Linked DNA regions of Notamacropus eugenii. The main gene of each other region encodes a partner of the protein of the gene in region 2 in a complex. Links are inferred from orthologs where the notes say so. Each region holds a gene or a part of one and is shown on either strand. Other genes may lie near its edges.

Region 1 (16,089 bases), about 65 Mb from region 2:
GTCCTGACCCTGATTGGTCCTAGCATTTAGCACTGTCTAGGAACTCATCCTCTAGGCCTAGAAAACTTGGTCCCAAAACTCCTTTGTTGCTCCACCACTGCTGTCATTTTGTGTTTTTTGCATGTGGCCCAAGAGTTCCTCCCTCTAGTCAATTTATATAAATTCATACATATTTTGATCTGACTGTAGAAACAGAGTTCTTTAAGCTTTTGAGAAAGGAGATGGTGCTACTCACATGGTATTTTGGGAATAGGACACTTATAAATGCCAGCTCATTTAACAACCCCAGTTGGTAGGTGTTTTATGGTGTGATTTGAAGGGAGTGGGCAAGAGGGAAAACGCACATACAAAATATTTATTCCATCAGCTTGCTACAAAACTTTAAACCCTCAGCATTCAGAGAGCTCATTTGAAGAAAGATCCTGTCTCAAGAAAAAAAGATTTATTATAATGAAAATATATTACCATACAGGGGCAAGACATTGAGACACTATCGTCACTATCATATTAACATGGATTGGTTTAGTCAGTTACATAAAAAGATGAGTTTTGTTGGATAAAGGAAAATGAGGAGGGGAAGTCTTATGAAGAGGGATGATGTAGGAGAGGTATTGCCATGGTTATTTCTGCACAGGTCAGGGCTGGCTTAGGAATAAGATTCCCTGATAGAAAGATAGATTCCTGACCAAGAAATGAAACAAAACAAATAAATATTTGCCAGTCTACTGGGTGATAACTGATATTACTTTAACAGAAGATTGTTTTTGGATTATAATATATGGAAAGGTAATACAGAAAAAAATTAATTCATATTAAAACATAGAGGCCATCATCAGAAAACGTTTTACTGGGTATGTGAAGGAAAAGTATGAAGGCACTGGGTATCTGAAAGGGGGCAGTGAAGAATTCAGCAAGGACGGACAAACACAACAACTAAGTACAGAAAGATGGAAGGGTGATGAAAGCAAACTTCATATATTTCATGATTTTACATAGGCCCAACTCTGTCTGAAGCCTAGCCTAACACTGCTTATTAGAAGACATTCATTCATTTATGAGTTTATAATGATCACACACTCAAGCTGTTATAATTTCTTACTAAGTGGCTCTCTTGCAAATGTGTACTTTAGGAGATTTTATAAAATGTATTTTGACAGCTTGTCTCCTACTGTCTTTGCCAACAGGAAAGGTTTTGACCTCTAAGTCATTCTCTTTATCACACCTTAATGCCGTTTAGTATTGAATAGCTTTGAAACAGAAGTCTTAGAGGTAGATCATGCAAGTAAATGGCAATTAAAGGATAAGTGGGAACAAGATCACACTTAAAAGAAAACCTCAGAATGAATCAAGGATAATCTGAAACATTATATTTCATAAGTATTTTTAACAGTGCACTTAGATATTCATTTCCAAACTGAAAATACATGACTGCATAAACTTTTACATATTTTTCTCTTTTTCTGCAACTTTAGAGACCCCAAAGTTGACCCTTACCTATAGTTTCAAATAAAATGTACAAACTAAATGTTAAGTAATATTGTGATTTGTAATGCAAATACAGTAATTTCAATATAGTTGTATAAAGCTTCAATTACAATAATGCCAATTTACATAATATGTTAGTGAACCATAAATATGGTAGCACTATGCGGATATTATATGTAGAATGTTAATTTCCTTTTGATTCCTTCCAAACCATTCTTTTACATTTTTTCATTCAAAAAGACAAGAATATTCACTGAAAACCCAATGTCAACAATATAAGGCAGTTTGTCCTCTCTTTAAAAAAGAATATATGATCATATTAATATAAGACCATTCTATATAACATGCATTTATTTATTTAGTACCTATCATGTGTAAGACATTGTCCTAAGGAAGCAAAATATAAAAAAACAGCTCCTCTCCCTCAAAGAGGTTCTATTATACTAGAAAGGGAAGGTTAAGATACAACTGGCAAATAGATAAGTATACACAAAATACTTTAAAGAGGAAGAAAGCACTAACTAGGGGCATCATGAAAGGTGAAACTGTAGCTGGGGTTGCTGGTTAAAAAAACACAAGCAATTATTAAGCATCTGTTATGTACAAGCTACACATATGTATATACATATATATACGCATATATACATATACATACATACATACACACACACACATATATACATATATATATATATATATATACACACCACTTTTCCTTGGTACAGGTGATGGAGGTGTGAAGGCTCTTAAACATACTAATAATCTCAAGAGTTTTTGACAGCCATTTCAACTACCAATTGACCACAATTTTTAAAAGTTATTTTACCAATAATATATTACAATTGAATAAATTTATTTTTACATTTTTTGTCAAGAATCAAATAAGCTATATGCTATATAATGTAAAGTAACATTTAGATATTACATGAGCTGTTATAACCCACCTTCATGGAGGGATTTGGTATGAGCATGCACAAGCACATAAAACATAAAAATTACAAAGAGCTGGAGCAAATGATGCCATAAATGAAATATATGATGACAAAAGACGAAGCCTTGGTCACTAGTGGAAAATGAATAAGACCCAATGGAAAGCCCATGAGGCTCCTATAGGTATCCTGGACTTTTATAGAGAAAGCAAGGCAGGTTCCCAGCATTGTGGGTGGACCACTTCTGGTGAACTTATAGGAAGAAATGAGCAAGGGTTGCACAGGATGAATAGGCATGGATAGGTTTCCATCTCCATTGTTGGAGGAAACATCCATATTAATGATGTCACAGATCATTTGAGTATTTCCTCACAAATCTGTGAGGCAGTTAGTTCAAGTATTATTCCCATTTTACAAAAAGAAACCTGAGATTTGGAGAGGTTTTATAACTGGCCCTGGCTAGTGAGCATCACAACTCGTTTGGGTGTTCTGTCTACTATATTTTTTTAAGTTCAGTTTCTCAATTAGGGCCTATTATGTACAAAGAACCAGGATCTACTATTTGTCTTTCTAAACTCTGATCATAGGATCATAAATGTTGAGCTGGAAGGGACCTTGGAGATCATGGAGTACAATTTTCTTATTTTACAAATGAAGAAACTAAATATCACAGAGGTTAGTGACTTGCCTAGGATTACTTAATAAGCAAGTGGCTGAGGGAGGATGGAATGCAGGTCTTCCTGACTCCAAGACAAACACTCAATCTAGGAAAGCACACTCCCTCCCATTACACTAAAACTTATTTAAATATTTGCCAACAAAGGCTGCCTTACATACGAATCTGAAAATAGAAAGAAGTTCCAGTACCCAGATTCCAAACACAGAGTTTGCCTTCTACCTCCCCTTCTTGTTCCTTTGTCCTTCCCCCTCACCCAAAGATGTACCCATCTCCATTCCAGGTACTTATTCCCCCTGGCTGCCCCTGAGGGACCAGACATATCTATATAGGACCTTCTTTTTAAAAGAAGTGGCCCCTGCTCTGGTTCTGTCTTTCTCTTTTTTTCTCACCTAAATATGTGTCCAATTACCTCAAGACTTACTAGTTGTTAATTCAAATTAAGGTTAGTATTTCACAAGGAATTTACATCTTAATAAGTACTTCTGGAGTAGAATATTGTAATCCAAAGAAATGATCCCAGGTTCATAACATACCAGATACTTTTGTTTATTTTTAGATATAAATAGTCTTTCAGTAGCATCCCTTAAGAACTTCAGTACCTTCACTTTGTAGGACCATTCTGATTGATTGAAGAGTGACCACTGACACAGCATCCAATCTTTGTTTCTTCTGGTCTTCAAAATTATGTTGGAGATTCATTTTCCTCATAGCTTTTCCAGATTGAGTAAAGCTATTATCTTCTGGCTATCACAGAATCACTGAATTTTAGATCTGAAATTATCTAGTTCAGCTCTATTATTTTACATATGATGAAACTGAGAACCAGGTATCTGAAATAACATGCTGAAGGTCACATAACTTATTAATAGTAAAGCCTGGATCTCAATTCGTGCCTTTTTGCAATTAGGCCTAGATCCTGTCCAGTACTGCCTACTGCTCATATGTTTGCAACATTTATATCCAGATGTAATATAAGCTCATTGAGGGCAGGGGCTATGTGCTTTTATCTTTGTGTATGGAGTATGTAACACAATGCCAGACACATGGTAGACAGCTAATAAATGGTTGTCAAGTGGCTGATTATATAACAATTGAATAAGGAGAATCTCTGTTTCTGTTGTCTTTCATTTGTGTGTTTCTATGGATGGGTATACATCAGCATACACACAGATGTTCACATACATTTGCTACTAATGGTGATTAACAATAAATCAACTGGCAGATCACTTGCACCTGTACTGATACTCCAATTAACTGGGGTTTTCTTCACAGGAGCTCTTAACACATCAGCAAGCATTTGAGAAGCAATCAAGGTAATGTCTCAGGGTTGTTTGGTCTTTTGTATCTGAGGTCATTTTTAAGCATTTAACAATATTTATCATGGACGTTAGCTATTGGCACATATCCAATACATACTGTTCTTGCCTTCTTTATTACTTTGTAAGCTCCTTTAACTTCATTTGCTAATGCCCACAGTATTTATAACAGTGTCCTTTGTACATGATGTGCTTAGCGATGGAATCCATTTACAGGGATCAGAAGTCAAGAAAGAAGGCAAATGGAAAGTTGTATTGACTGTTGTATACTCAAATAATGGTCAGAATGTGGTTTCAGATGCTGCTCACATCCATTACTTAACGATCTGCTTTCTCTTGCAGTCAACTGAAAACAAACAAAAAAAACACAAAATATTAGCCCCTCATTAACAATTATCCAGAAAAGTCTGAGACATTTTATCAGGGAGAAATGGATTATACTCAGGTTACTGATTTCCAGAGAATAACAAAATATATTAAAAGGACACAAATGTGGCAGTGTAATATAATGTAAAGAGCAACAGAGCTGGAGTCAGATAAAATAGTTTCAATTCTGCTTCTATCTGTGTCTGTGTGACCTTGGGCAGGTTACTTACCTTTTCCAGACCTCAGTTACCTCACCTGTAAAATGAGGGGGTTGGATTAAATAACCTAGAAGATTTCTTCCAATTCTAAATCAGTGATCCTTTGACAGGATCATAAAATTCCCTCTTTCAGTCTAGATCTGAGATTTTACCAGAATATGGAACTATTGGTTAGCAAACTCTCTCTACAAAGCATTTTTTTTTTTATCCAATTAAGGCCTTAGAGCATTGGCTGGGGCACTGCAAAGTTAAATGACTTTTCTAAGACCACGCAGGCAGTATATGTCACAGGTGGAATTTTAATCCAGTTCTTAATTCAAAGGCAGATGATATACTGCCTTTGATTTTGAAGTATAACTTTGTTTTAGTTTCCTTAAAGATCATTTCACATGAGCCAAAAAAAAAAAAATCTTTAATACGCTGTCTTTCCCTTTGCTAAGAATAACTGGCATTTAAATAGCAATTTCAAGTTTGCTAAACAATTTATGTCTCTTACCTCTATTAAGCTTCAAGTGGGACCTCCATTTAATGATTACCATTTTGTAGTTGAAGATACTGGGGCTCAGAGTTTAAGTGACTTACCTATGGGCATACAATCAGCAAGTGTCAGAGAAGGAACACAATCTATGTGTGCTTTAACTCTCTGTGTCTCTGTCTCTCTCCTAATGTGCTCTTTTCAAGGTAATAACAACAATTAGAATTTATAGAGCACTTTGAGATTTTAAAAACTATTTCACAAATATTACCTCATTTTTCCTCATCCTAACTCTAGGGTAAGTATTATTATTGTAATTCTCTTTTTTCAGATAAAGTAACCGAGTCAGATAGAGCTCAAGTGACTTTTTCTAAACCAAGTAAGTGAACCAGCAAGAACCGGAACTCTGCTCTTTCTACCTCCAAGTTTAACACTATCCACCATGCCATCTAGCTGTCTCTCAAAGTAAGTATTCATATTGGATACCCTTTTCTATCAACATTATGTTTGGACTAACCTCCCTATGTGTTCTCAGAAACTCTGAGAATTTATGCCATATGATCAGCTCTCTATCACACAGAAGATCTGTTTCTAGAATTAGGGAGACAGCAATATATAACACATCTGGTTAGAAACCTCTGAAGAGGCAAAGTACAAAACATCAACTTTACAAATTCCACTTCAAATTCTAGGACAAGATGAGCCTCTAAGATTCTTGTGATTAAGTTCTGACCTTGAAGAATGACACTGCAATCTACCTGTATTATATGACCTCGCCAATTCCAGCTATCCAGTCTCTCTTTCTTAAGCCCACAGGACTTTGTCCTCAACTTTCAACCCTGCTCTTCCCCAGGTCCATTCAACTTTATGACTCTTTCCTCCTTTATCCAAGACCTTCTCTACTGTTTATCTAGTGTCTAATGATTGATTTCATCCACCTACATTCTTAGATGTTCCTCATTCCAAAAACAAACAAGCAAGAACAAAACCAAATTTTTCCTTGATTCTTCTATTTCAATCAGGTACTAACTATCCCATGTTTTTTTTTTTTCTCATCAGTGGTAAACTTTCTGAAAAATATTTGCGAGTATACAAGTCCTCTATTTCCTCACACTTATTCTCTAAATCTTGTAATCAAGGGCTTTGTCCACAGTCATTAATGGAAACTGCTCAAATAGCCTTTTTTGAGTACTTCCTTTATTTCTACTGGTTTTAGCATCGTGATGCCCCACTAGTAAATGCTCTCCCCTCCTTTAATTCATGAGCAAGACACACTCTTGGTTTTCCACTTTCCATTTTTCTCCTTCACTCGTTCCTGATCTTATTCCTGGCTTTAGTGGTTGCACAATTCTTCATTTCCAAAGGAAAGTACACTACATTCCTACAAGCACCTTGTCCATGCTAATGACTCCCAAGTGTAGATTTCTTTCTCCTCTAAGATCTATAACTACACATCAGGCTGCCTGTGGACATGTCTGCCTGAGTGTCCTATTGGCACCGCAAACTAAGAGCTCATTATAGTTTGCCTTTTTGTAGCTTTTATTCTTGGCTTTGGTCTTCAAAAGGAAAATAACCAAAAACTTACAGGAATTACAATGTAGCTTTTACTTCTTGATCTACTCTGCTTCTCCTACCACTCTCAGACAGAGCAGTATGAAAATTGAAGTAGAAAGATGGGGAAGGTGGTAGAAATCTACACCACTGACCAAAGACAGCCACAAACCAGAGAAGGTCAATCAAAAGTATAAGCTTCTTCTCCAGGATCAGTGTGGTTGCATTTAGAAGTGGAGAAAAGAAGGGAATATCCCCTGATTTTTCCTTTATTAGGAAATAAGTCAATTTAGCACCCTGAAAAGAAAAATAGAGTCTCCTAGAGGCAGGGGTCTCTCTGTCTCTGTTCTCTCTCTGTCTTGTTCTCTGTCTCTGTGTGTTTCTCTCATTTTCTCTCTCCTGCATTTCATGTGGCTTAAACTTTAATTTTATAGTCATTTAAAGTACAAAAAAACTTTGACTTTCTTAAGTTGGGCTCTGAAACTCTGGGGTGAGGAAAAAGTCCATCTCAAAATCATTACAAACCAAAGCTTCCTCCAGGCTCCAGATGTCCTGCTTTGAGGATGAGTGAATGAGATTCAGCTTAGTGAAGAAAAGTAAGAGAGAGGTATCCTATATATTAAAGCTTTAGAGAGAGGAAGATTTGAGACTTCTGACAATAGTCAAGAGTTAAGTATGTCATTCTGTGAAATGACCATTTATCCTATTTCTGAGGTTCATAACCTCAGGCTTATATTTGAATCTTCCTAATTTCTTATTTCCATTGAGTTTCCATGATCAGTGAATCTCAGCTTTGCAATATTGCTCACATCTGTTTGTTGCCTTCACCTAGAGCAGTCCCTCATTACTATCTGCCTAGAACAGGGGTGGGAAACCTGTGACCTCTAGGTCCTCAAGTGTGGCCTTTTGACTGAATCCGATTTTTTTTTTCTGTGAGGTTTGGCTTCAGTCAAAGGATCACACTTGAGAACCTAGAGGGTCAAATATGGCATCGAGGAGACAGGTTCCCCACCGCTGGTCTAGACTACTAATCTAGGCTCTTGACAAGTATTTCCTCTTCTACTCTCCTTCCCTTCAATCCATTTTACACACTGCTCTTTGTATTAGATTTCTTATGTATTCATCTCATCATATCACTCCTCTGCTCAAAAATCTTCAGTGAATACCTCCCAAACAATATTCTAATTCCCCTGCCTACTGTTTGAGGTTCTCTATAAATTCATGCCAACAGATTTTTCTAGCTTAGATCATATTACTATCAACCCCTTCTATTCTTTGTTCCCTGAATGTACCTTATGGCCTCTCATCTCAGGACATTTTTTTTCTCATCATTAATCTCAGTCATTTGACTTCTGAATTTCTAGTTATTATTTAAACCACAGCTCAAATGCTATACTTACCTTGAAGTTTTCCCTGATATGCTGCTGGTAACTATTTTTCTTGTTGGGCTTTATATCACAATTTGCTTTTATAACTCCTTAGAATACTTATAATGCAACACATTGTGTTACAGTTACATGTGTTTGTATCACATCCCTCCACTAAAATATAACCTCCATGAGAGCTGGGAGTCTACCTGATACAAATATTGTATTTCCAAAGTGTACTATACAAAGTTCTCCCCCATAATTAGTGCTTCATAAGTTTTCTGAATTGAATTATTAAAATGAATGTTCCTTTCATAAATTCATAACTTCTTTAGATAACGTAGGACTTTGCTGCAACACTGTTCCTGGCTTCTGGGCAATCCCAAAGGAGTTTGTTTTTTCTTCCCACCTTTTCAAAATATAACCCAGATTGGATGGTTCTCCATCTCTTGCAAATAGTGCACGTATTACTAATGTTTAAAAAATTCCATTAAAATTTTTCTGCTCTATATTAAAGAAACAACAACAAACCACGATCTCCCAGAAACTAAAATTTTAGGTTTTAAAGTGAAAGTAGCATCCCCTAGAATAATCCTTATTCTTCCATTCCCATCTAAGCCTTTCTCGGCAGTGAGTCACTTTTTAGCTCTTAGAGAACAAGTCTCTCTTCCTTTCCGTACTTTAAACCTGAGCTCCTAGTTAAATGCAGCAGCAATGAACAGGTTAAAATAGCTAAGCTCTCTCCTTAAATGGCTTCAACAACCCCCTTCCCCGTCTTTCCCCCAATCTCTTGCTTTTTTTTCTCCAAAGAAGTGGGAAGCCTGGATAAGGGCAGCCCTTGGTGCTGGGGGTGTGGAATCCCCCTGCCTACTTCCTGATTTGGGGGACTTCTGTTCCCCTAGTCCACCTACCATGGTTCACTTCAGACAGAGGGGAAAGTGGAGGGGGCGGAGCTGGCAAACTAGGACTCCAAGCTGCTTTAACCCTCTCCCACCAGCTACAGTCACTATCCCAGAGGTCTCCAACTTTTTCCCCCCTCCTAGAAAGAATTCTAAAGTCTCTGGCTCTGGGGACGTGGTAGGAGATAGATAAGCAACTCCTCTACATACTGAATTGGCATTCCCGCCACTTGTCTGTACTGCTCTCTGACTGCCCCCCCTTTCCTTCCCTTCTCTCTGGCCTTCCCTCTCGTCAACACCCCAACCCCCCCACCCCCACCCCGCGCGCACCTCCCTCCCCACCAAGTCCGGACGCATTTTCCCCACAGAAATCTCACGCCAGAGGACTTGCCCTGCCCAGGCTGCAGATGCTCTGGGATGCTTTCTCCCTCCTTCTTCATCTGGAGCCTGGGGCAGCAGGCAATAAGCACTGCGGAGCTGGGACAAGCGGCGGAGGACAGCCGGCCCGGAGGCTGCTAGGGCCCCCTTCTCCTCCTCTGGTCCTTCCTGTCCACTCTCCCCTCCCCTCGGCCAGCCGCGCTTCTTTCTCCCTTTGCCTCGGCTTGCTACCCGCCTTCTCCGGTAGGCTGCCAGGCGGACCCAGCCTGCCTTTCTCCAAGCCTTCACTACCGGGTCAAGCTGAGGAGGGGAGGGAGCTCCAGCAGCAGCCCAGAACCCCTCCCCTACTCCCCATCCAACAAACCCTCCTTCCCCTCCTCCTCCTCCTCCTCCATCCTACCTCCCCTCTTCCTTGCTGCCAGTTACAACTAGTACGCTCACAGCAGCTGCCATGGATATCAGCTAAACACACGCGCACACACACACACACACACACACACACACACACACACGCAGCGAGTGACCCCTAGTATCTCAACCCTCCCCCCTTTCCCTTTCCCTTTCCCCACCCCCACCCCCTCCCTCCCTCCCTCCCTCCCCAGCGCAGCTACTGCTCCGGCTGCTGCTGCCACCACCGCTGCTCTGCTCTCTGCCGGGGCCACAGCCTTGAGTGTCATTCAAGCGGCCGCCAAACACCACCCCAAGCTCTCTTATCCCAGCCTCAGCCGTCATCCCCTCCGCTTCCCACTTCCCATTCCACACTTCCCCCCAAAAGGGGAGGGGGGAAGCAAGCAGGGAGTGGGGCCGAGAGGAGGGAAAGCGAAGTCTTACCCTTCTTACCCCATCTACTCTCTCCTCGTCCTCTCACCTCCCGGACAGCCCTACATACCGGAGCGGAGCAGGGCAGACCACCCTACTGCCATGTCTAAAAGCTTGAAAAAGAAAAGCCACTGGACTAGCAAAGTCCACGAGAGTGTCATTGGCAGGAATCAGGAGGGCCAGTTGGGCTTTGAACTGAAGGGGGGAGCCGAGAATGGACAGTTCCCCTACCTGGGGGAGGTGAAGCCCGGCAAGGTGGCCTATGAGAGCGGCAGCAAGTTGGTACCGGAGGAGCTGCTGCTGGAGGTGAATGAGACCCCGGTGGCGGGGCTTACCATCAGGGATGTGCTGGCAGTGATCAAGCACTGCAAGGACCCTATCCGACTCAAGTGTGTCAAGCAAGGTAAGCACAGCTTTCTTATTTGTGTGACGGACAGCGAGACTCCGTCCCTGGGGCTAGAGGGTGGAGGGGCGTGCGTGTGTGCAAAAGGGGGTGTGTTGTGTGACGGTGGGGTGGGAAGATACAGAGAGTCATGCCAAAGCAAGGAAGATTTGAAGATTGCCCCACTTGGGGTAGTTTAAGGACTGAGGAGGCTAGGGTACAGATGAGGATGTGGCATGGTATGCAACTTTGTTTTTTTCAGTGGAATGAACTTGGTCTTGAAGGTGAGGGGAAAATTGAATGTGCGTCAGTGGCATCCCTTGGCGTGGAACTAAGATCTGGGGAAAAGAGAGTGGAAGGAAGGAAGAACTTAGGGAGCAGAGGCACCGCCAGCGGGGCAGAGAGGAATAAACACTTGCTGGGGAGAAGGGAGATGTGATAATTGGGGAGATGCGGATATTCCAGTGACCCGGACTGGAGACGCCGAAGTCGGTTGCCGGTTAGGAAGGAAAAGAACAGATGTCTTTGGGCTCTTTGACAGCTACTCAGTAACTTTTTTTTCCCCTTTCCCTCTTTTCTGTCCCCCCTCCCCCCTTCAGTCTTGTCATGTGGATAGATAGCGTCATGTGCAGCACCAAGTAACCCAGGGCAGTATTTAAACAACCTTGACTTCTAGGGATGAGACTAGGGCACATACGCAGGGTGCTGGTGCAGTAGAGAGCTGGTACTGGTACTGGGGAAATCTAATCAAAATGTACTGCGCTTAGTGGTTTTTTCCTCATTGAATGGAACTGTTATGGAGGAGTTGCCTCAGTAGGCTGGGCTTTCCCCTGGCAGGGGTTATTGGTGGGTGTGTTTCTAGGGAGAAGTGGATGGAAATGCCAGCTGGTTACCTCCCAGGCTCCTTCAACTTTGAGCTTCTGGGAGGCTTTTATCCTTTGGGCTTGCCCCTGATGTGAACATAGGAGGAATGGGGTGGGGGAGGAGGAGAGAGAGAGTGCTAGCTGAACTCTAGTAATCTTACTGGCTGTTTCTGTTTGAAGGAAAATGAGATTCCCCAAGGAGGAAGGAATGAGATAAAAGTTTGGCAGAGGGAATAACTTCAAGGAGACTCACATAGAGACTATTCTTTCCACATGTGTGTGCATGTGTATTCATAGGCAAATTTTGCACATTTCATGTGTATAGGGGAGTGAATATATATATATATATATATGATTGTGCAAATTTTTTGAGAGGTATATTATATTCTTACATTGTTAATAAATTAAAGATGCTACTTTTGTTTATAGAGATATGTACAGACACCCCCACTTATACATATATGATTGTGAGATTGTCCTCACAAGTGCAATTGACTGGCACCACAAAACTCTATTCAAGATATTTTGGTCCTCAAAAGGATTAGATGTATAAATAAACAAGTAAAAAAAAAATGCCTTGAAAAGGAAAACTTAACGCAGGAAAGGGAGGATGGGATTCAATTAGTGTAATAGACTGGAAAGAAAACAGACTCCAGAATCAGAAGACCTATGTTCAAATCCCATGTCATGCTTAATACCTTTGTGACCCTGGCAAGTCATTTAAACTTTGTGCTTCAATTTCCTGTACTGCAAAATGAGGATTGAGGAATAGATAGCTCCTGAGGAAACTTCAAACTTTAGATCTCTGATTCTATGACAGCTTTAAAAAGAGAATTTTTCAAAAATAGAAAAAAAAATCTTCACAAACTTAATTACAACCCTACTGAGAATTGAATCTATATGCAGAGTTGGATACAAATGCAGTATTTTATGCTTTCCAAAACTGCATACCCGGGGCTCAGCTATGAGGATTTGAATTTTTTTCTTTTTTGTCTGTGTTCTGTGTAGATCCAGCAACCATAGCTTCTAAGATTTCAACCCCTTCATCACTTTTAATGTGAAGAGATATTGCTTTTAATATGTTAATCAAATATATGTATATACACACATATACAGTCATATATGTATGTATATAGTCATATATGTATGTATATATGTTTATATATAGAAGCAACAAGTTAATATAGAGAAAATTTTGTTGAATGAGCATTTTCTTGAAGATTACTGGTTAACTAGCATTGCTGAGTTTCACTAGTAGAGTAATAATTAATTGCAAGGTATCATACTTAAGGCACTTGTATAGCCTGATGAGGCTTTTGAATCATCATGAATAAAATGATATTCAGTCTTAGTGGCTTAGTGTTGTATATCATGATAATATTATTATGATTCTTTGAAAGTTCATAAAAATGTCTATGCTTTAACCAAGATTCTTCTTTGTTCAATCCTGTCAGATAATAGAAAAGCTTATGGATCTTTATTATTCCACAATGGGAGCAAACTTAACCCTGGTCAAGCCACTGCACATCTCTGGGCCTCAGTTTCCTCAATTTGTTAATTGATAGAGTTGAACTGGATTCCCTCTGAGGTCTCTTCTGTCTCTAAATCTGTGAACTCTTGCATAGTTTTATACATTATTCTTTGCTTTTTCAAAGAAAGTACTTTGACACAGAGAGAACTGGCAACTTGAGAATAAAATGTGTACCTTCTCTTTGTAGTATGACTCTTAGATAACAACTGAAGTTTGAAATATGCTCTACTTTCAAATGATTATAATTTTCAAAAAAAATTGAATAGAGTAAGAAGAGTTTACTTAATCAATAAAGGAGAATATTAGTTTCCATCAGAATCTCTGATTTAATTAGTGCAAGGCATTCCAAGTAAGGAAATTTCCAGTGCAAGTTTTAGTATTCATGAGTTGCTTAGGGGCCAGCAGTGAGAGGTTCTAGGTGACTTTCCCAAGATTATAAAGAGAGTGTATATCAGAGGTGGAATCTGAATGTATGTCTTCCAGATACCAGATGACTTGCTACATACTACAAAATGATATGTTCATACATGAATACATATATTGAAAAATATTTTCATTTCAATTCATTCAAAAAATTGATGAATTTTCACTCTTATCTAGTTGTGCATTGGCTATCCCTGGATGTATTGCAATTTTAAGATATTGCTATCGATAGTCATTTTGCTATGTGGCTTAAAAGCATACATTTCTAAAATTATTATTTAGCCAACTTCATAAAAATCCACTTTTTAATTTAAGTTGGCATATTTCCAATTCAGACATAGAATACAAATGTGGAATATATAATTGTCCCAAATCCAATTTTTGTAAATTATTCCTTTTGTGCTTTTAAAATAATTAATTTTCATTACCCAAGTGATTTGCTCTTAAGTAACTGTTTTTACTTTCATTCATTTTATTGAGGAATTGTATTCATAGAAAATTCCTTGAATAAGATTCAATGGTGTGTGTGTGTGTGTGTGTGTATGTGTGTGTGTGTGTGTGTGTGAATTCTCACACAGATACATAGACATACACACTATAGTTCATAACACAGTCACAAGGAATACTTCTGTACTACATTTTTTGGACTGTGGCTACCAGTACCACCTGGTGACACAAATAGTCATGTACCATGGTTTTCTTTTGAAGTACTTACAAATGGAAAATAGGAGAAAAGGGAAAAAAGGAGAAGTAGCTTCACCTAACCCCCTTAGTTCCAGAGAAAGGGAATATTCTACCCATTACTCATTTGAAGACTCCAAGAAATAAAATGAAACATAATTACTAACAGTCTAATTTTGATCTCCTTTATAGAAAGAGTTATTTATATATTCCTTCTTTTTGGTGAAACAAGACACATACTCTCTCATAATAAAGATGACTTTTTCCTCATGATACTTTGAAGTAGGGGATGGGAATAGGAGATGTGCATCAAAATTAAATATTTTGGTAACTTGGCACTTTCTTTGATTATAAAATATCTTTACCATCCTGAAACAAAGTTAATGAGCATATTACTTTTATTTTGGCATGATTTATTCATGACATTTGTGTACATTTTCCCTGTACATAAGTAATTAAAGGAACACAATCTTGAAAGGACTAATCAACTATTTGCCTTTTTTAAAAAAAGAGGGAGATTAGTCTTAGAATGAAATCACAGTCAGAAGTATGTAAGTACTAGTCACTACTCATAACATTTACAATGTGAGATCTTTCAGCACATGCAGTATAAGCACATCTTCCTTTCAGTGACTTGAAACTCAAACATGCAAATTCTCAAGGAGCAAAAATGTACCACAGATCTCATCTTGGATTCTTTCTGCTTTAAACAATGGCTTTCAAAAACTCATTTAAAAATAGCAGACTAAAAAGTTGATAATCCTTTTCCAATTATGTCAGTCATTAAGATATGGTAGCATTGCAAAGTTTTTTAAGCTTAGAAGACTTCTCAAATTTTGAGCTAGAGTTGAGGGTTAATAATATTCCTAGTGGGAAAATGCAAAATGATTTACATATTTAAAGTTATAGTCAAATTCAAAGATATAGTTGATTTTTTTTGATCTTGAAGATGAATTAAAACTTTTTCTCTAAGTGAAGAATTAATCCTATAGTTAAAGATAATATCTATAAGCAGAATGAAGTACTCAGTAGAGGCTTTAGATTTGTCCCTCCTCATGCTGAATGTTTCAGTAATGGGTAGCTACTTTATACAAAACTAGTACTTTCACCATCCTTTTGTTTCTGGAATTAACTCCCTCCCTCCTCTGCCAGTGAATCATTCACCACAAACTTTCAATCATCACAGTCCTTGTGAACAATGATCAGGGTGAGGAAGAGGAGAATTAAGAGTGTGTCTTACCTCATGGAAGGAAGGAGAGCATGCTCAGTAGTGGGGCACTGCCATGGTGAATACAAGTAAGGAGGGTACTGGAAAAAAAAAGACATTTGGTTTAGCTAAGAGGAAGTCATTTGAAGGGAGGAGGAGGAGGAGGAGGAGGAGGAGGAGGAAAGAGAGAGAGAGAGAGAGAGAGAGAGAGAGAGAGAGAGAGAGAGAGAGAGAGAGAGAGAGAGAGAGAGAGATCAGTAAGAACATCTGGATTTAAATTCTATTTATGACTAGCTGTGTAACCATGGAGATGTCACTTAACATTGCTGAGCCCCCATTTCTTGATATGTAAAATAGATAATACTTATGCTACCTAACTCATACATGTAAATGAATTTGCCAACTAAAAGTTGCAAAATTGATGTCAGTTATCATCATCATAGTATCTAGGTTTAGCTGTATATTATTTTTATTTAAGGGCGAACCAGTTTGTTACCTTACTCCCATATGTTTATAGAAA
Region 2 (15,627 bases):
TAGTACTTAGTGCCTGTGTCTGGCACACAATAGAGCTTACTAATAAATGTTTATTGATTGATTTCAGGGAGAGTAAGGGTTGTGGGGAGTGGTGACTCTTCTGGGAGAAGAGCAGAAGTTCAGAGACTGGGAAAAGGAGCCAAAGTCTAGAGGAATCAAAGGGAGTATATAAGGACTTCGTTGGAGTCCCCTATTCTGAGTTACTGCCCTTTCCTTTCAGTAGCAATGGGGAAACTTCTCTTAAAGAAATTGGCCTGGCGGGGAGGGGGATTGGGAGGAGGCAGAATAGTGGGCCGTGGAGGTAGTGCAGTGGATAGAGTGAAGAGCCTGGAGTCAGAAAGTAATGAGTTCAAATACAGCCTCTGACACTTACTAGCTGTGTAATCGTGGACAAATCACTTAATCCTGTTTGCCTCAGTTTCCTCATTTGTAAAAGGAGTTGGAGAAGGAAATGGCAAACCAGTCCAGTATCTCTGCCAAGGAAGCTTCAAAAGGAGTCACAAAGAATCGGACATGACTGAAATGACCGAAAAACAACAGAAAAGTGATAGCTCATAGTTATATGGTGCTTTACGGAGTACCTTCTTTAAAACTGGGTAGGTAACTGCTAGTAATGTTCCCAGTTTGTTTCTAAGAAAACATCCTTCCAAAGATGCAAAATCAAAATTCAGCCATGACTGCCAGTTCTGTGCCCCTCTTGTCTGTGTCTTCCCATCAATTAACCAGAGAGGGTCTAGTCAATGTACCAAGGGTCTTCTTCTCTTTCTATTGTTATGATAAGGATACCAGTGGAACATATGGCCTATTCCCAGAAGCTGGTGGCCTAGTAGATATAGAACTGAACCTGGAATCGGGGAAACTTGATTCAAATCCAACCTCAGATGCTTATCTGTGTGACTCTGACCTTTGATTGCCTCCATTTCCCCAACCACACAGTGGAGACAAGAGTACTTACCTTGAAGGGTTGATGTGAGGATTAAATATGCAAATATTTATAAAAGCCCTTAGTACAGTGGCTGGCACATAGTAAGTACTATATAGAAATTTATTCCCTTTGCTAGTTATTTTCTGTTGTCATAATTTAAGAAGCTCATCTTCCTCTTTGATTATATATATTTTTTAAATGGCATCCTTTAATAGCTATGTGATCTTAGAATAAAAGTCTGCAGTCACACAGTTAGCAAATAACTGTCAGTATTTAAACCCCTCTCTGTTCCACTATAGTCCCCAGAGAAGCAAAGAGGGGAACTAGCCAAGTACAGACAGCAGGAATCTGGCCGGTTTTGTGACCCTTCCCAGAATTCTACTCAACCTAAGGGATTAGAGAGGAAATGAAATGTGTCTGGGTCCCTGCTTGGATTTCCTTCATTGGGATGGTTAGTGGGGTTTGAGTTGAAGAGGGAATAGAAGGGTCTAAGGAGTTGGCAAGTTTCAGACTAGCTTCCCAGGTTATAACTGGGACAGCTCACTATATATTTGTTAATTGGTTGAAGTCTTCGATTCCCCCTAATCTGACTGAATCCAGTTTGGGCTGTAATTGAAAGGAGATTCTTTAATACAAGTGTGCCCCCCTGTGACCATATAGAGTAACACAACTTGATTGGCTGGCCAACTCCAACCTAACCAACTCCCTCCCTCTCTAGCTGCCCTAAGTTTAATGTGAGGGATTTAGGGTTTGCTCTTAAATTTCCTCCTGGCATGCAACTTCATCATGGGAGGAATGTGGCAACCACAGATGAAGTGAAGACCTCAGAAAAGAGAAGGAGGAAGTGAGAGGCCACAGATTAGGGCATTAGCCCTGTGGGGCCCAATTTGATTCAAGCACAGATTCTCTAACATGGGATTTCCCCATCCATCCGAATGCTGCCTTATGAACCTATCACTTCATACGCTATCCATTTCCTTCCCAGCTCTTAGCAGTTAAGATCACGATTAGTGACAGCCCCAGTGCAGCCTATTCTGTGCAGTAGTCTCAGCACATCCTCCAAGGTTACAGACCATCTTGACTGGAACTAGACATCTTTACCTCCTCATCCCCTGTTTCTTTAGAGGGTAAAGTCATACTTCCAGTCATCCAAGTGTGCAACCTTGGAATCCTCCTGCACCCCTTACTCTCCCTCCCTCCCTCATACCTTGGCCATTTTTCCTCCACAACTCTCTCATCCATCCCAAGTTCTCCACTCACAAAAAACCCACTACCTTAATTTGACCCCTCATCACCTTTCAGCCTTCCAATGTCTGTCCTGCCTCAAGAAACTCTCTACTCCAGCTCCACAGAACTGCAAGAGTGATATCCCTGAAGCATTAATATAATCATATTATCCCCTCTGCTTTAAAGTACTGGTGGCTCCCTGTCAATCAACCATCAAACATCTACTGTATGCTAGGTGTTGGAGATATAAAGACAAAAATGCCTTCAAGGAACATTCTATTGGAGAGGAAATAAGCACCTACTGTGTTCCAGGCTCTATGGCAAGCATTGGATCCTCATGTCATCCCTGTGAGGTAGGTGCTATCATTACCCCCATTTTACAGTTAAGGAAACTGGCAAACAAAGATTGTGTTTCACTCAGAGTCACACAGCTAGGAAGCATCTGAGCCCAGATTGGAACTCTGATCCTTTTGATACCAGTTCTAGAACTCTCTCTCCCCACAGTACCACCTAGCTGCCTCCTTTTAAGGAAATATGTACACATAAAAACACATAAACAGTATATATAAAGAAAATGCAAGGTAACTTGGGGGTTAGAAGGGGAGCAGCTAGGAGGATTCACAAAGGCCATATGTAGGAGGTAGAATTTGAGCTGGGCTTTGAAGAAATATAATGAATAAAGGAAAAGAGGGAGTACATTTCAGACACAGGATAGCAATCTTTGGACCCAGCCAGCTAGTCCAACCCCTTTATTTAACTGAGGAGAAAATTAAGGCCTAGGGAGGTGAGATGACTTCCCCAAGGTCACAGAGGTAGCTGCATCGTTAGGATTAGAACCCAAGTCCTCTCACTTCAGAGATGCTGGTCCAGTGGAAGTTGACTTGCAAAGGCTCAGAGATGGGATAGAGACTGTCACAGGAGAGATGCAAGTTGGTCAGTTTGGTTGGACCTCAGAGTATGTGAAGGTTCAGTGTGGGTCTGGAAAGGTAGTCTGGAGCTAAGTAGTAAAGGATTTGAAATGCTAAACAGAGATGCCACTGAAGCTTCTGGAGCATGGGGTCACTGTAACATATGCTTTAGGAATAATACTTTGGATTATTTGATCAGTTCCCTGTTGTCTCTTGTCATTTGTTCCTCCTTTTTAAAGAGGACCAATGATATCATGGGGTCATGATTTGATTCTTTTGAGAACTGAATTTTAGCGAAGCAGAGTTGCATTGAAGTTCATTAGCTTCTCTCTTCCAGAGCCATCAAAGTCCAATGGCAAGACACAAGTCAAGATGATGGGGGTTTGGCTCGTGATGCAGTGGATGACCTTATTGTCTTCGGCATCTGACCAAGACCTAAAAGTTCCACAGGACCTGCTTCAGCTGCCTTCATGGCTGTTGGACCAAATTGTTCTCATCTGCCCATTCCACCAGGGGAAAGTCTTCACATGCTCAGAGTAGGCAACCCCCACCCAACTCACAGATAAGCCCCTCAACCTCAACCTCCACCCTTGCCTCTAGGATCAAATTCAAATTTCTCTGTCTGGCATTTAAAGCTTTTCACAATCTAGCTCTACCTCTCCTTCTAGATTGATCTCTCATGACTCCACTTCACTGGCTCCTACCTCTCCTTCTAGACTGATCTCTTCATTACTCCATAAATGATCTCCACACATAGCATTCCATCTCCAATTTTCCACTATTTTTGTAAGCTATCTCCCACACCTGACTTGTATGCCTTCCTTAATGTTCAGCTCAAGGACCAGGTCCTACCTATGTGCTGATAATAAATTATATATGTATATGTACACAATGTATAAAATATGTATTTGTTATCTGCTAATTTGTGTATATATCATCCCACACCACTCCCATTACATACTACAAGCTCCTTGAAGGTAGGGACTGCTTGTTAATTTTGTCTTTTTGCCACCACCTAGCACTTAGCACAATGCCTGGTATGACAGATATTAAATAAATGCTTATTGGTTGGTTGATTCATCAAGTCTTGGGATTCTCCAAGTTGAGCAAGGTGTGTGAGAGTGAAGGGGAGAGTGAGAGGTCTCTTTGCTCATTCCCCCTTCCTGAATAAAAGTGAATTAACTTAATTAGGGAGGTCCTGAACTTACTGATTTGAATCCTCCCCCTCCTTCCTCCAGCCTTTACTTCCTTTCAGTAACCTCTTTAAAAAAATACACACTAACAAACCAATCCACTATGGAATGCTTCAAGACTTACTTTTAAAGTTTCCCTAGTCACTTTCTTATTTCTTCCCCTCCCCTTTAATTAGTCCTCTATCCTAATACCCTCTCTAATTGACATCACCCCAGCTGTTATTATCCCTCTTTCAATTACCTATCTGATCTCTACTTAGGCCTCCCTATCCGATTATGGCCCTTTTGTATCCTATAGTATCAGTCTTTTCAAAATACACTGGGCCATCCAGAAAAAAAAGCAGGCCTTCACTCCTACTTGTATAAGAATTGTTTGAAGAACTGGGTATGTTTAAATGAAAACCTAGGTCGAAAATGATAGTGGTCTCCAAATATTTGAAAGGCTGTCAAGTTGAAGAAGGTTTAGACTTATTGTGTGTGGTCCCAGACGAAAATTAAAAGCAAAATGGCTGAAGTCACAAGGAGGTAAATTGAGGCTTGAGGCAAGAAAAACCTTCCTAACAATTAGAATTATCCAAAAGTATCATGGACAGTCCTCAGAAGGAAGTGTTTGCCCCTCATTAGAGGTATCCAAGGAAAGGCTGATGTTATATATTATGGGATGTTATTGAGGGAATTCTTGTTCGAGAGTAAACTAGGTGGTTTCTGAAGATTTTTTCAGCTCTGAAATTCTGTGTTTTTCAAGTGATGTAAAAGATAGTCCAATACAAAAAGTGGTTATCTGGTTATGTATGTGAGAAAACAGATGGTGTCAATACTGGGGCGATGTGTGAATTACTTGGGCCTCGCAATAATGTACAGGGTTTCTGTTAAAAACATTAACAAACCAACAACCACTGGGCTTTGTTTTCTAAGCCCTTTAATTGAGATTGGTACGGAACTGGTCCAGACATAAGAAGATTCCATTTCCCCCACTTCTCCTTCAAAAAATAAAACCGTAAAAGCTCAAATGGCTGTTTGTTCCTCTGGTTTCAATGTGAGGACCTCCAAGTCGGAATACGTGTAGGGGTAGGGTAATGGAAGAAAAAAGTGAGAAGAGGTGAGAGAAATCTGCCAGAGTGAAGGGGACGGTGAGGGGGAACCGTGGAGGGCGGGAGCACGTCCGAGGTCTGGGAACCTATGGCTGGGGGTGACCCCCTCCCTGCTTTCCCTGAGCGGAGCCCTCGGCCCGGAATAGTGCCTCCTCGGTCTGGCAGATCACATCCAGGATTTCCCGGATACAGTCTTTCAGCTCCCCGGCCCTGCGCCCGACCTCTCCCCTCCCTCCTGGGGTCCCTGGTGTGTCTAGGCCCCCGGGCAGGCTTCGCTCAGGCTGCCTGGTGGCACCCGAGGCTTCCGTGTCGCTCCCTTCGGAGGAGCAGCTCCGGGCGCCGCCCTCTGGGGCTTCATCCGAGTCCGAGTCCGGGGCTGTATGGCGGCGGATGCGGGATACAGCTTCCCGCAGGGCCCCGGCATAAGGCCCTGGGTCCCGCACCCAGCCCCGGCCCGCCGGCCGCCGGCCCCCTGCTGCTGGCTCTGAGCCTCGGGCGCCATCCGCGCACCTCTCAGCTGCTCCGCTGGGCCCGCCCGGGTCCGAGCTTCTCTGAACTGGGGACGCCCCCAGGTCCAGCTCCTTGATTGGGAGCCCCAGGATGCGGGAGGCGCGCTCCTCCAGGGAGGAGTCCTCCGGCTCACCAGCCTCAGCACCCTCATCCCAGGCATCGGAGCAGCCCTTGCTGGGCTGATGAGAGAGCCGGCTACTCTGCAGCAGCTTTTGGCATGGGGAAGGGAAAGCTTGCTCCTCCTCTCCCTCCTCTTTTCGGGGTTTCTGGAAAGCCAGGGAGTCCCCCCAATCCCGTGGCCCCGGGGAAGGCAAAAGCTGCACGTGTTGAATTTGAGGGGTAGGAATGAACTGGGCCCGAATCACAACGCACGTGGCGTCAATGACAAACACTCCGTTTTCCCCACCAGAATTATGGGGGCTGCGGGGCACGGTATGAGCTCGGTGGGTCTCCTTCCAGTCGGCTGGAAGCTTGGAAGGCCTCTGGGACCCACCCCTCTCTCCCGGGGACTCTTTCTCTCTTGGGCCCCCAGGGGCCCAGGGTCTAGGAAGGGTTTGGCTGTGCTGGGGTGGCTGGTCTCCAGGGGAAGGACCCCAGGTCTTGCGTGTCTGTTCTGCTCGTTCCCCTTCGGAGGTGTCACTGAGAGGGAGCTTGGTTCTGGGTGTCGTTTGGGGGGTGCCAGAGGTTATGGTTTCTGCTCCTGTGGTCTGATTGGCCCCAGGCTGTGAATAACTCTCGCTGCCGTTGCTATTGAGACCCACGGGGGAGAACCCAGGGACCTTGTCTGAAGTCTTCCCTCCAAGCCCTCCTAGAAACCCACCCAGGGTGCCCCGGCCCTGCCGAATCCCCCAAGCCCCTAGAACGTCGCGGTAGATCCGCGGATCCAGCCTCTTCTTGGGACGCTCCTCTCTATCTTTTCCTTCTAGAGCTGGAGCCGGAGCTAGAGGGGAGGGCAGCCGGGGAAGCTGCGGGGGCCGTTTGGCCCCCAAGGTCCGGTGGGGGCCATCATAAGAAGGCGGAGCCACGTAGGGAGGAGGCCGGTCCCAGCGCCTCCTAGAGACCGGCCCGGCAGCGCCTCTCAAGAGCAGGTGGGCTTCATAACTGGGAGGCCCAGATGGCCTCCCCATCCGGGGTCCCCCTCGAGCTGCGGCGCCAGGCTCTCGCAGCGACTGCGCTGCTGGACGGGGCGGTCGGCCGGCCGGCCCAAGGTGCTCTGGCAACCCAGGGACCGGACGAGCCTTAGGCTGGGTGGCCTTAGGGATACTCCCAGGTTCGGGACGGGGCCCACCTCCGCCCCGGGCTCGGCTAAGTGGACTCCGGGGTTCTGAACGGCAGAGGCCTGGAGGGCTCCAACTTCGACCCCCACCTCCCTTGCGCCGCTTTCTCTCTGTTTCTTTGGCCTCACGCTCCTGGGAGGCCGCCTTTCTTTTCTCTTGCTCCCTCGGTCGGATCTCGGGTGGGTGCCCTGTCCCCCAGTTGGTTGCCTCTTGCAACACTCGGGGCACCCATGCCCGGCGAAGCAGCCGCTCTGGGGGCTTCTGGCCCAGCCCATACCTGGGACAATAAGCAGGAACCCAGGTGAGCGGCCCCCGAAGCTTAGGGACAAGCAGAGGGAACCTCGGGGGAAGTAAAGGATAGCCATGAAGACTAATGGGTGCGCAAGGGTTATAGAATGGGGGGGGGGGGGGAGGGCTGGGATAAATAGGGATTATTTTATTATGGTGACTAGGTTCTCCTTGTCACACTTTAATCGTGTAAGCTTCACACAATTTCCCCCTCTATTCATTAATCCATGTCCATCTCTCGTTCTCCCCACCCCCCACCCTACCCCCCCCCCCCCCCCGAGGTCACCCTAGACCCACCCGGTTTGAGGGAGTAGGAGTGCAGCGAGGCTTAAGCAGTATCATTACAATCAGTGGTAAGTAGTGGAAAGGTCAGGACCTAAACTGCCCTTACTTGTGCCCTTCTCCCAACCTATTCTCCCAATTAAGCCCTCAGACTCACCTGTGGCTTGAAGGTTCCTGGGCCCAAGGACCCCCAGTAGGGTCCATGGGCTGGTGAGCAGGGGCCCAGCGACTGTAATGACAGGAGATGGTCTTCACTTCAATCACTAACATCTTGGACTTCTGTACCCACAAACAGCCGGCAGACTCTCCATCATGGGGCTTTCTGGGGCTGCCTGGCCCCTCGGAGAACAGCGGGCCATCCACCATCCTGTTCCACCCCAACCCCAACCCCCCACCCACCCACCCCAAGAACCCCCTCCTAGCTTAGGAAGCCTGTACCCGCTGCAGAGCGGCGTACCCAAGGACTGGGGACTATATATACCCGAGCACACGTGTGTGTCTGTGTGTGTGTATGTATGTGTGCGTGCATGTGACACGGGCAGTTGTTCTGTGTTGCTACTTCTCCCACACAGCACGCGGCAGTCCTTGGTTGCCGACCTGGACACTCCCCACTTCCATCTCTTCCCCCCAAACACAAGTGGGACCAGTTGGAAAGTGGATTCTTCAACTAGGTACCAAAGGTCATCTCCCCCTCCTCCTCAGCCCTCAAAATTTCTCCCCCTACCCAACGTTGCTGTCTTATTAACCCATTATTCTACAGTTAATCTGAGTGCCCTGATACTTGGGTTCCATTCCTGGCTTTCCTTGTCTCTAGCTTGTTTCTTCATTTAGGATAAGAAAATGTCCCTTGGAATTCAAGGTCTTTGCTCTCCACCCTCTGCCTGTTTCCATGGGTTTGGGGGCAGGGGAAAGGGAGGGGGCGGCCCCAAGGCTCTTGGGGGTTATTTTTAGCGGTAGTGCGGGTGCCGGAGAAGATGAGTAACCCGCTTCTCAGCGGCGGAGGGAGGAGGCGGTTGCTTCGTGTTCAGCTCAGAGCTGAGAGCTGCTGTTCCCAAGCTCTAAAGCACCCCCCCCCCCCCCACACACACACACACATTCCACCTTCCTTGCTATCGGGAACACTGGGGGCCTGCTTTGGAGACCACACCTTTCACCTTGCACAGTTCTAGGTGTTCCGGGTAGAGGGAGGGACCATAATGGCAGTCTGTCTCTTCCCCCACTAACCCAGAAGGTAGGGAGAAGAGTCGCTCCCTATCATGCCCACACACAACTCTGGCAAACAAAAGTGGGATGAGTTTCTGCACTTTTAGGAAAGAAAGACGGGTAGAATGGAAAATGCTTCCAGTTCTCCCAACCGTTGTGCAACTAAGCGAAAATGAAGGACAAAAAAACCGCTGTGCTTGCATTTGCAGGATCCCTCCCCTTCCCCTTTTCTGAATACTTTCCCTGTTGCTGCCTAGGATGTCCACCCATCGCTGGTCCGTTTTGGCTCAGATAACAAAAGTAGGAGAGTGTTCTGATGTTCTCATGGTCCCTTCCCCCAGCACTATTACAGGTGGTTCCCAACTTTACCATGGCAATGTTAGTAACAGCGCAGCCCACGCCAAACCCACCATGCAGAGACTTAGCAACCATGCATAGCAACCATGCTAGCAGTTCAAGTGGAGGTAGGGAAGGATGTAGTTCTAGGTGGAGCAGATAACATTCCTCCCTTACCACTGACCTCCTCAAAAAAAAAAGGGATAATAGTAGAGGAATATAGATGAGACTTCCAAAATTGCCCCCTTAACCCAAGAGATCACTTAGGGTTCAGAGTTGGTAGTGATAGATAGCAAGGAATCCTGATTTGTTAAAAGATCCCTGCACTTCCCTTCCAAACATATGGTAGGAAAAAGGGTGTATGCATGTAGGGGTGGGTACAGGGTCAGCAGTGGTTGTTACCAGGTAGGTAGAGAATGGATCAATAGGAGTTATTCTCTATCTTTTTTTAAACCTCCCTTGAAATGCCCACTCCCACAGGGGCAGATACAGAAAATTCAAGCATCCTGATTCTAAATCATGTCCCCATCATTACTCCTTAAAAGGACTTCAATAACATTACTTATCTGACTCCTATCCAACCCCCCCCCCCCATTTCCTGCCCTGAGCCCAGATACTTACCTGACTCCAGTGATTGTAATAGCTAAATAAGAGTGAAGGTGCCTCTGTCTCTTTTGCTACCAGAATTCTAGGCCTTTTAAAGTTTCCTCTCCAAACTCTCCCCCACTACCCTGTCCCCATGGAATGTGCATACTCCCTAACTCATCTAATCACTCAGAAACCTCCCTCAAGATCAGGAATGTGCTGTGTGGTGGTGGCCCATCGCAGCAGGACCTCTTTACCTAGGGAGTATCCTAGGACTTGTACCCCTTCCCCACAAAGGCATGCCCAGAAGCCCATGACTTTTCTCCAACAGCCTCCCTAACTTTAAGAAACCTGAACTTTGGGAAAAGTAGCATAGGGAAGAATAAGTGAAGAATGCAAAAATGCAAGAAAGGCCAGATTGAGAGGTAGGCTAGCATTTAACCCTCCTGTCCTCCCACCTCCCCTCCAGAGCCCCCACCCCAGACCTCCCTAACTCACTGTTGAAGGTGCCATTTGATGGCTTCTGACTGCATGTCAGTACTCAGGCAAGTGAGGATTAAATCTGTTACCTCTGGGACTGTTGCTGCTACCCAAACCATTCCCAGCTTTTAGGAAAGGCAGAAGAGGCAATAAAAGGGATTTGCAAGCTCACACACTGTGCCAGTTCAGCAGAATCTAAGCCTAGTCCTGCCTTCCCAGCACCACTGGGGGGGAGGGAGTCCCTGGAACATTCATGGCAGGGAGGTGTATAGGGTAGTGGTGTTGGGAGGGGCTGGGCACTAACTTCTGTCTGTATGGGGAAAGGGCCCTCCCTCCTCCCTGGAGATACTGTACGAAAGGGATTAACTTCAGGTCCCAGCACAGTAGAGGGAGAGGAGGCTGGGAACATGGAAGGGCATGGTTTGGGTAAAGGAGAGATGTGAAGTGTAACAAGTCTGTTTTAGAAGAGGGAGGTATGTGGAGCCACAGATGCAGAGGTCAAGATCAGTGGTGCTCATAGCCCCAAAGAAAACACAATACTGTAGGAAATGGGCATCTTTGTCATTTTAATTAGAATCACTATGAAAAATAAATCTGACTAGCCATTCTGAACTTTCCTTTCCAACTCCCCAAGACATGGGAAGCACAGCAAGGGAAAAGAGAGCAAGAATCCAAAGGGTGTATTCCCCCACCAACATCATTATAGGAGGAAATGGCACTGTCTCCCCCCACCCCCTAACTCCTTTTGTATCAGGAAGAATAAAAACATCTTTACAGAGTTTCATGGTACATTATCTCACGAGATAGGGGCAGGGTATTTGCTGAGGGGACTGGGGATCTCTTAGAGATCAGAATTACCTAGGATGAGGGGCACACAGCCCTTAGTTCAAGCAGGGAACCAGTGCAGATGGTTGGTGCCTGGGCTAGAGGTTACTCCTTCGAAGTGTGGGGGTTTCTATGTTTTCCTACCCCTTTATACCCTCTCAGTAAGGTTGGGTGAGTGGGTGAGTGTCACAAAAGGGATCAGAGCCTCTAGCATCCCATCCGGCTGATCAGAGGTATGGTGTGTTTTCTGTACTCTTTCCAGCTCAGCTCAGGGCTTCTCTCCACCTCTGAGCACCAAGGCCTGTAGTATATCAGAGAGTGACACGATGCCTTTTACCACATTGTTCTCTTCAACAACCACCAGCCGATGAACCTGGCATAGGATGGCAAGAGAGAAAGGAAGGGAGCTTTTAGGCCAAACTCAATCAAGTAGTTTTCATTGTTCCCTTCACTATTTACAAGCCTCTCTCTTCAATCCAACAATCACAGCTTTCCCACACTCCCAAGTCTTTCGCTTCTCTTTCCCCACCTCAGCTTCCACCAGTCTGTTAATGATGGTCTCCAGAGTTTCATGCTGGTAGCACTTGAGTACACCCTCAAAATAGTGGGATCGATGCTGCAGTGCTTTTGTCACAGATATGTCCAAGTTGTTATAGGTCTTTTCTGCTGCCAAGTTCTGGGAAAATGAGGACAAAGAGCCCCAAAAGCATGGTTTCTAATTCCCAAAACCCAATTCCATCCCACTCCATCCCCCAAGAAATGCAGAACTCAGGTGAACTGGTCATCTCTCAGTCCACACTTAGCCAGTAAGGGAGTCAGTTCTTTTCTCCCATCAGATATGGAGACCAGTGTCACGGAAGCCCTTGAACCCACAAAGAATTCCCTCCTTTTCCTTCCCACATTTCCCAATCCCTCCTTCCTTTTCCCTACCACCTGAAGTGGTCCTTCTGAAGTCACTCACAATGACATCAAACTTGGAATAGATGTCCACCACACGCCCTGTGAAAATAGGGGCATCTTAACCGGAAGGGCTTGGAATTCAGCAATGGAACCCCCATCACTGCCCACAGAACACCTCTGGGGACACAGATTTCCCCTCCCCTTCTTCTCTCCCTCCTCAATTCCTTACCTTTCTCATCTACCACTGGCAAGGCAGAGACCCGGTGCTGAACAAAGATGCCCAATGCAACATAGACAGGTGTGGTGGTACGAACCAGAGCAATGTTGGCATAAGTGCCTATCTGGAGCTCCTCCAGAGACTTAGACATGAAGTCCGGTTTGGGAAACTCTGCAATCTGGTAGACAGATCAATTAACTAGACTACCAGGTCCTCCAAACAGCCCTCAGCCACCAACTCCCTAACCCAGCCCAGGGAGGCTTGAGGGCAGTATATGTGATGATGGGAAGTCAGAGAGGAAGAGAAATAGCACTTACAAAAAGCTTGAGGAACTTGAGGATGCGTTTGTGGGTGAGGATATACAGAGTGTTGCCAGAATCAGGATCAATGACTGGCAGTCTATGGATCTTATTTCGGATCAGTGAGGAAACAGCATCAAAAAGGCTGTGGAATGACGGGGTAATGATTAGCTCCAGTTGTAGGTTATAGAGGATTTGGGGACAGTGAGCAAAGTCAGACTATCCCAAGGCATGTATGTATGGGGTCATCACTCCCACCACCCTTCCCAGGTTCCTTTTGATGATGACTTTTCCATTCTGAAAAAGCAGATGGCAGCTCACCTGGCATTAGGAGAGATGCAGACAAGAGGTTTAAAGGAGTCCTGAAGGTACACCTCTGAGAGGAGAAGAGATGATTTACACACAAAATGCCACCAAAGAAAACAGCTTCCCAAGAAAATGTTCCAACCCTTTGTCTCCCTGTGACTCCCTACTACGAACCTCTCCAGGTTTCTATCTTATGTTCTTCCAGCTCATAAATCTGTACCTGGAATAGAGGTAACAGGGTTCGGGCTTTTATCACTCTATTCCAATAGACCCCCAACAGACTGTTCCCTGGGAAGTGGAGCAGGGGGCAAGAACTGTGCGCACTATGGAGGAAAGCAGACCCGAGGATGCAAAGAAGACACTGTCAGAAATCAGTGGCAGGGCTTGGAGGTGGGACCCAAAGAGGAAATCAATGGTTCCTGACTATGGCATCAGAATCAACGGGTTATGGGTTTCTCACCAAGGCTGACTTGTAGTAACGGTGTAAAATATTGATGAAGTCAGTGATGGTCAGCATGCCTGGAAGCCAAATGAATACTTAGGAATCGTACTGTCTTCCCCTTAGAACACCCTCAGATGAGGGAATCCCAAATGCCACCCTCAACTTCCCATCATGCCTACCATGATGATATCATCCATCCTCCGGACCCCTACTTACCCACAAAGCTCTGTTTCTTGCTGTCCCATAATGGGGCTGCCCGAACTCCATTTGTGACAAGGGCAAAGAAAGCTTTCTTTACCTGCAAGGAGGGGATGAGTAATAGAGAAGGAAGGGTCACTAGGAGAGAAATTGAGGGAGGAGGAGGATAAGAAGCATAAGGGGAAAGAAGGGTAAGAGTAGCCCTACAAATGGCTTTGGATGGGATATATAAAGCAGAGGCCTCAGGGAAAGGGTAGAGGATAAAAGCTTCACTCACCTGCAGGGAGGTATCAAACACAACCAGTTTGGAACTTGTGGGGATCAGATCATAGCATCGATGGGATTTCATGAAGCAGGTATAGACAGCGCTGTTGGACTCTGGGGTCTCTGCATAGCATGAGGGGATTAGTGTTCTCCATTCTGCTGTGTGAGCCCTGCTCCCCCTTCCCCCACCTCTCTGTCAGAGGGCTATAGCTTCCCAAATGGAGAGGTCGCTCTCCACGACACCCTCCCATTCCATCCTGCCTCATTCTTCTTCCTCCCACCAAACCTAGACAAGGATTTTTTGAATCCATCTAATTCTCAGTTTCCCAAGGCTAGAGACCATTTCATCTTTCAGCAGGGCTATGTCAATTCCTGTCAGGTAGAGAATGTTCTACTCAGAGTTCTCCAAAGGATAATCTCTTAGAAGTCTATTCTTGTCTGGAAGGTTCTTCTCTGAGCTAAGTTTTTTCACCATAACTTCTGTTCATTCTCTCTTGCTCTTCTCCTGGAATAGAATAAGAGTCTTGTGATGCTTCAGAGAGCTTTTGATAGGAATGAATGGTTGCCTTATCCAAGCCATTCCAATTCAATACCATGTTGGTGTGTGTTAGTAAAACACCATGTTGGATGGGACTTCCTGCTTCCTGTATTTCCCTCCAGCAGTCTAAGGTTCTGAGGATGGGTCTAGGGTGAGGTCAGGCTGGGTGTAGGATCCTGAAAGTCTTATTGATGGGTAAGAAAAATCCACAAATAGTCTGTACCACTAATAAGGCCTTGAGAGAGAGGGCAAGTTCAGAATCCAGTGAAAACTGAGACTATCTCCATATCCTTTGTCAAACTAGGGAAATATCCATAGCCTGCACTGTCCTACCTCATCCTGTGCCCAACATGGATTTTTTTTTTTAATATAAAGAAGAGAGCTATCTCTATCCTTTATCCTCAGCCATTATTCCAAATCCCATAGAGCCTCTAGAGTCTCTGAGGCTAGTATAAAAGTCTGTCTGGGAAGTCCACAGCAGCTTCAAGGAGTTCCAGAAATGGTGAAGGGGGGCATATTTAGGTCCTCCTAACTGGCTTCCTTGCTTTCCACTCTTCGCACTGCTGCCCCAATAATCTTCCTAATGTCAATAATCTTTTCAATAGCTTTCAATGGCTGCCCACTACTTAATGAATTAAAAGCTCCTTACCCTGGCACCCAAGAGTCTCCATAACCTTCCAACTTCCAACCTACCTTTCTAGTCCTACTTCATACTATTCATTTTCTTATACCCTACTTTCAGAACAGACAAGGGTAGCTTTTATCCCCACTTCTCATCCTTCCCTCACTCCTCTCCAAACTTGTACTGTTCTCCTGTTTAGTTAATTTTCCACTCTACCTCCTAATGCTGAAAGTCTCCTCCTTCCCTTAAAACTCAACTTAGATACCAGTTCCTTCAGGAATTATTCCCTTTTCCCAACCAAATCAAAATGATCTTCCCTAAAATTTCACATGCTACTTTTCCTGGATCACTCCTTCGTTATCATAGTTATTTGTGTACATGTGTTTCCTTCTACCCCCTTAAATTATACGTTTTATAGAGGTTGTGTGGCATAGTGGATATAAGATTGTCCTGGAAGCTAGGAAGCCCTGGGATCAAATCTACCTCTATTGCATACCGGCTATGTGACCCCAAGCAAATCCCTTAATCCGTCAGTACTCTAGGCAATTTTTTAAGACTAGAAGTTTCAGAGAAGGTACTGATTGGATTGGTAAATGAAGCTTCTTCAGCTGAAGGAGATTCCCTATACCAATGAAATCACAGGTCAAGTCCTGATTCCTCTCTCTATCCATCAGGGAAGGTCTACGTCATCTCTTTGGAATCTTAATGTCC

The links.
Region 1: the proteins of DDN (region 2) and MAGI2 are in contact, whole or in part, in a crystal structure (PDB 6KKG), measured with the Mus musculus proteins. The link is inferred for Notamacropus eugenii from reciprocal best matches to the Homo sapiens genes DDN and MAGI2. Residues at the interface, in NP_001013763.1 of Mus musculus: Asp222, Arg223, Pro224, Pro225, Pro226, Tyr227, Val228, Ala229, Pro230, Pro231, Ser232, Tyr233, His237, Arg238, Thr239, Leu240, Gly241; in NP_001164217.1 of Mus musculus: Glu308, Met309, Ala310, Tyr311, Thr312, Glu313, Gly315, Tyr318, Ile320, Asp321, His322, Lys325, Thr326, Thr327, Ser328, Trp329, Asp358, Tyr361, Tyr364, Val366, Asp367, His368, Arg371, Arg372, Thr373, Gln374, Phe375.

What each region holds. Positions count from the first base shown.
Region 1 is NC_092874.1:155,950,045-155,966,133, reverse strand, and holds the start of MAGI2 (membrane-associated guanylate kinase, WW and PDZ domain-containing protein 2), read left to right. Parts: upstream 1-10,006; 5' UTR 10,007-10,584; coding exon 10,585-10,885; intron 10,886-16,089. UniProt on the Homo sapiens protein: Seems to act as a scaffold molecule at synaptic junctions by assembling neurotransmitter receptors and cell adhesion proteins. Plays a role in nerve growth factor (NGF)-induced recruitment of RAPGEF2 to late endosomes and neurite outgrowth.
Region 2 is NC_092874.1:220,871,094-220,886,720, forward strand, and holds DDN (dendrin), read right to left. Parts: upstream 8,068-15,627; coding exon 7,859-8,067; intron 7,409-7,858; coding exon 5,431-7,408; 3' UTR 5,337-5,430; downstream 1-5,336. Other genes in the region: PRKAG1 (5'-AMP-activated protein kinase subunit gamma-1), read right to left, coding at 11,399-11,503, 11,660-11,806, 12,092-12,129, 12,260-12,425, 12,565-12,691, 12,868-12,922, 13,027-13,072, 13,313-13,371 and 1 more. UniProt on the Homo sapiens protein: Promotes apoptosis of kidney glomerular podocytes. Podocytes are highly specialized cells essential to the ultrafiltration of blood, resulting in the extraction of urine and the retention of protein.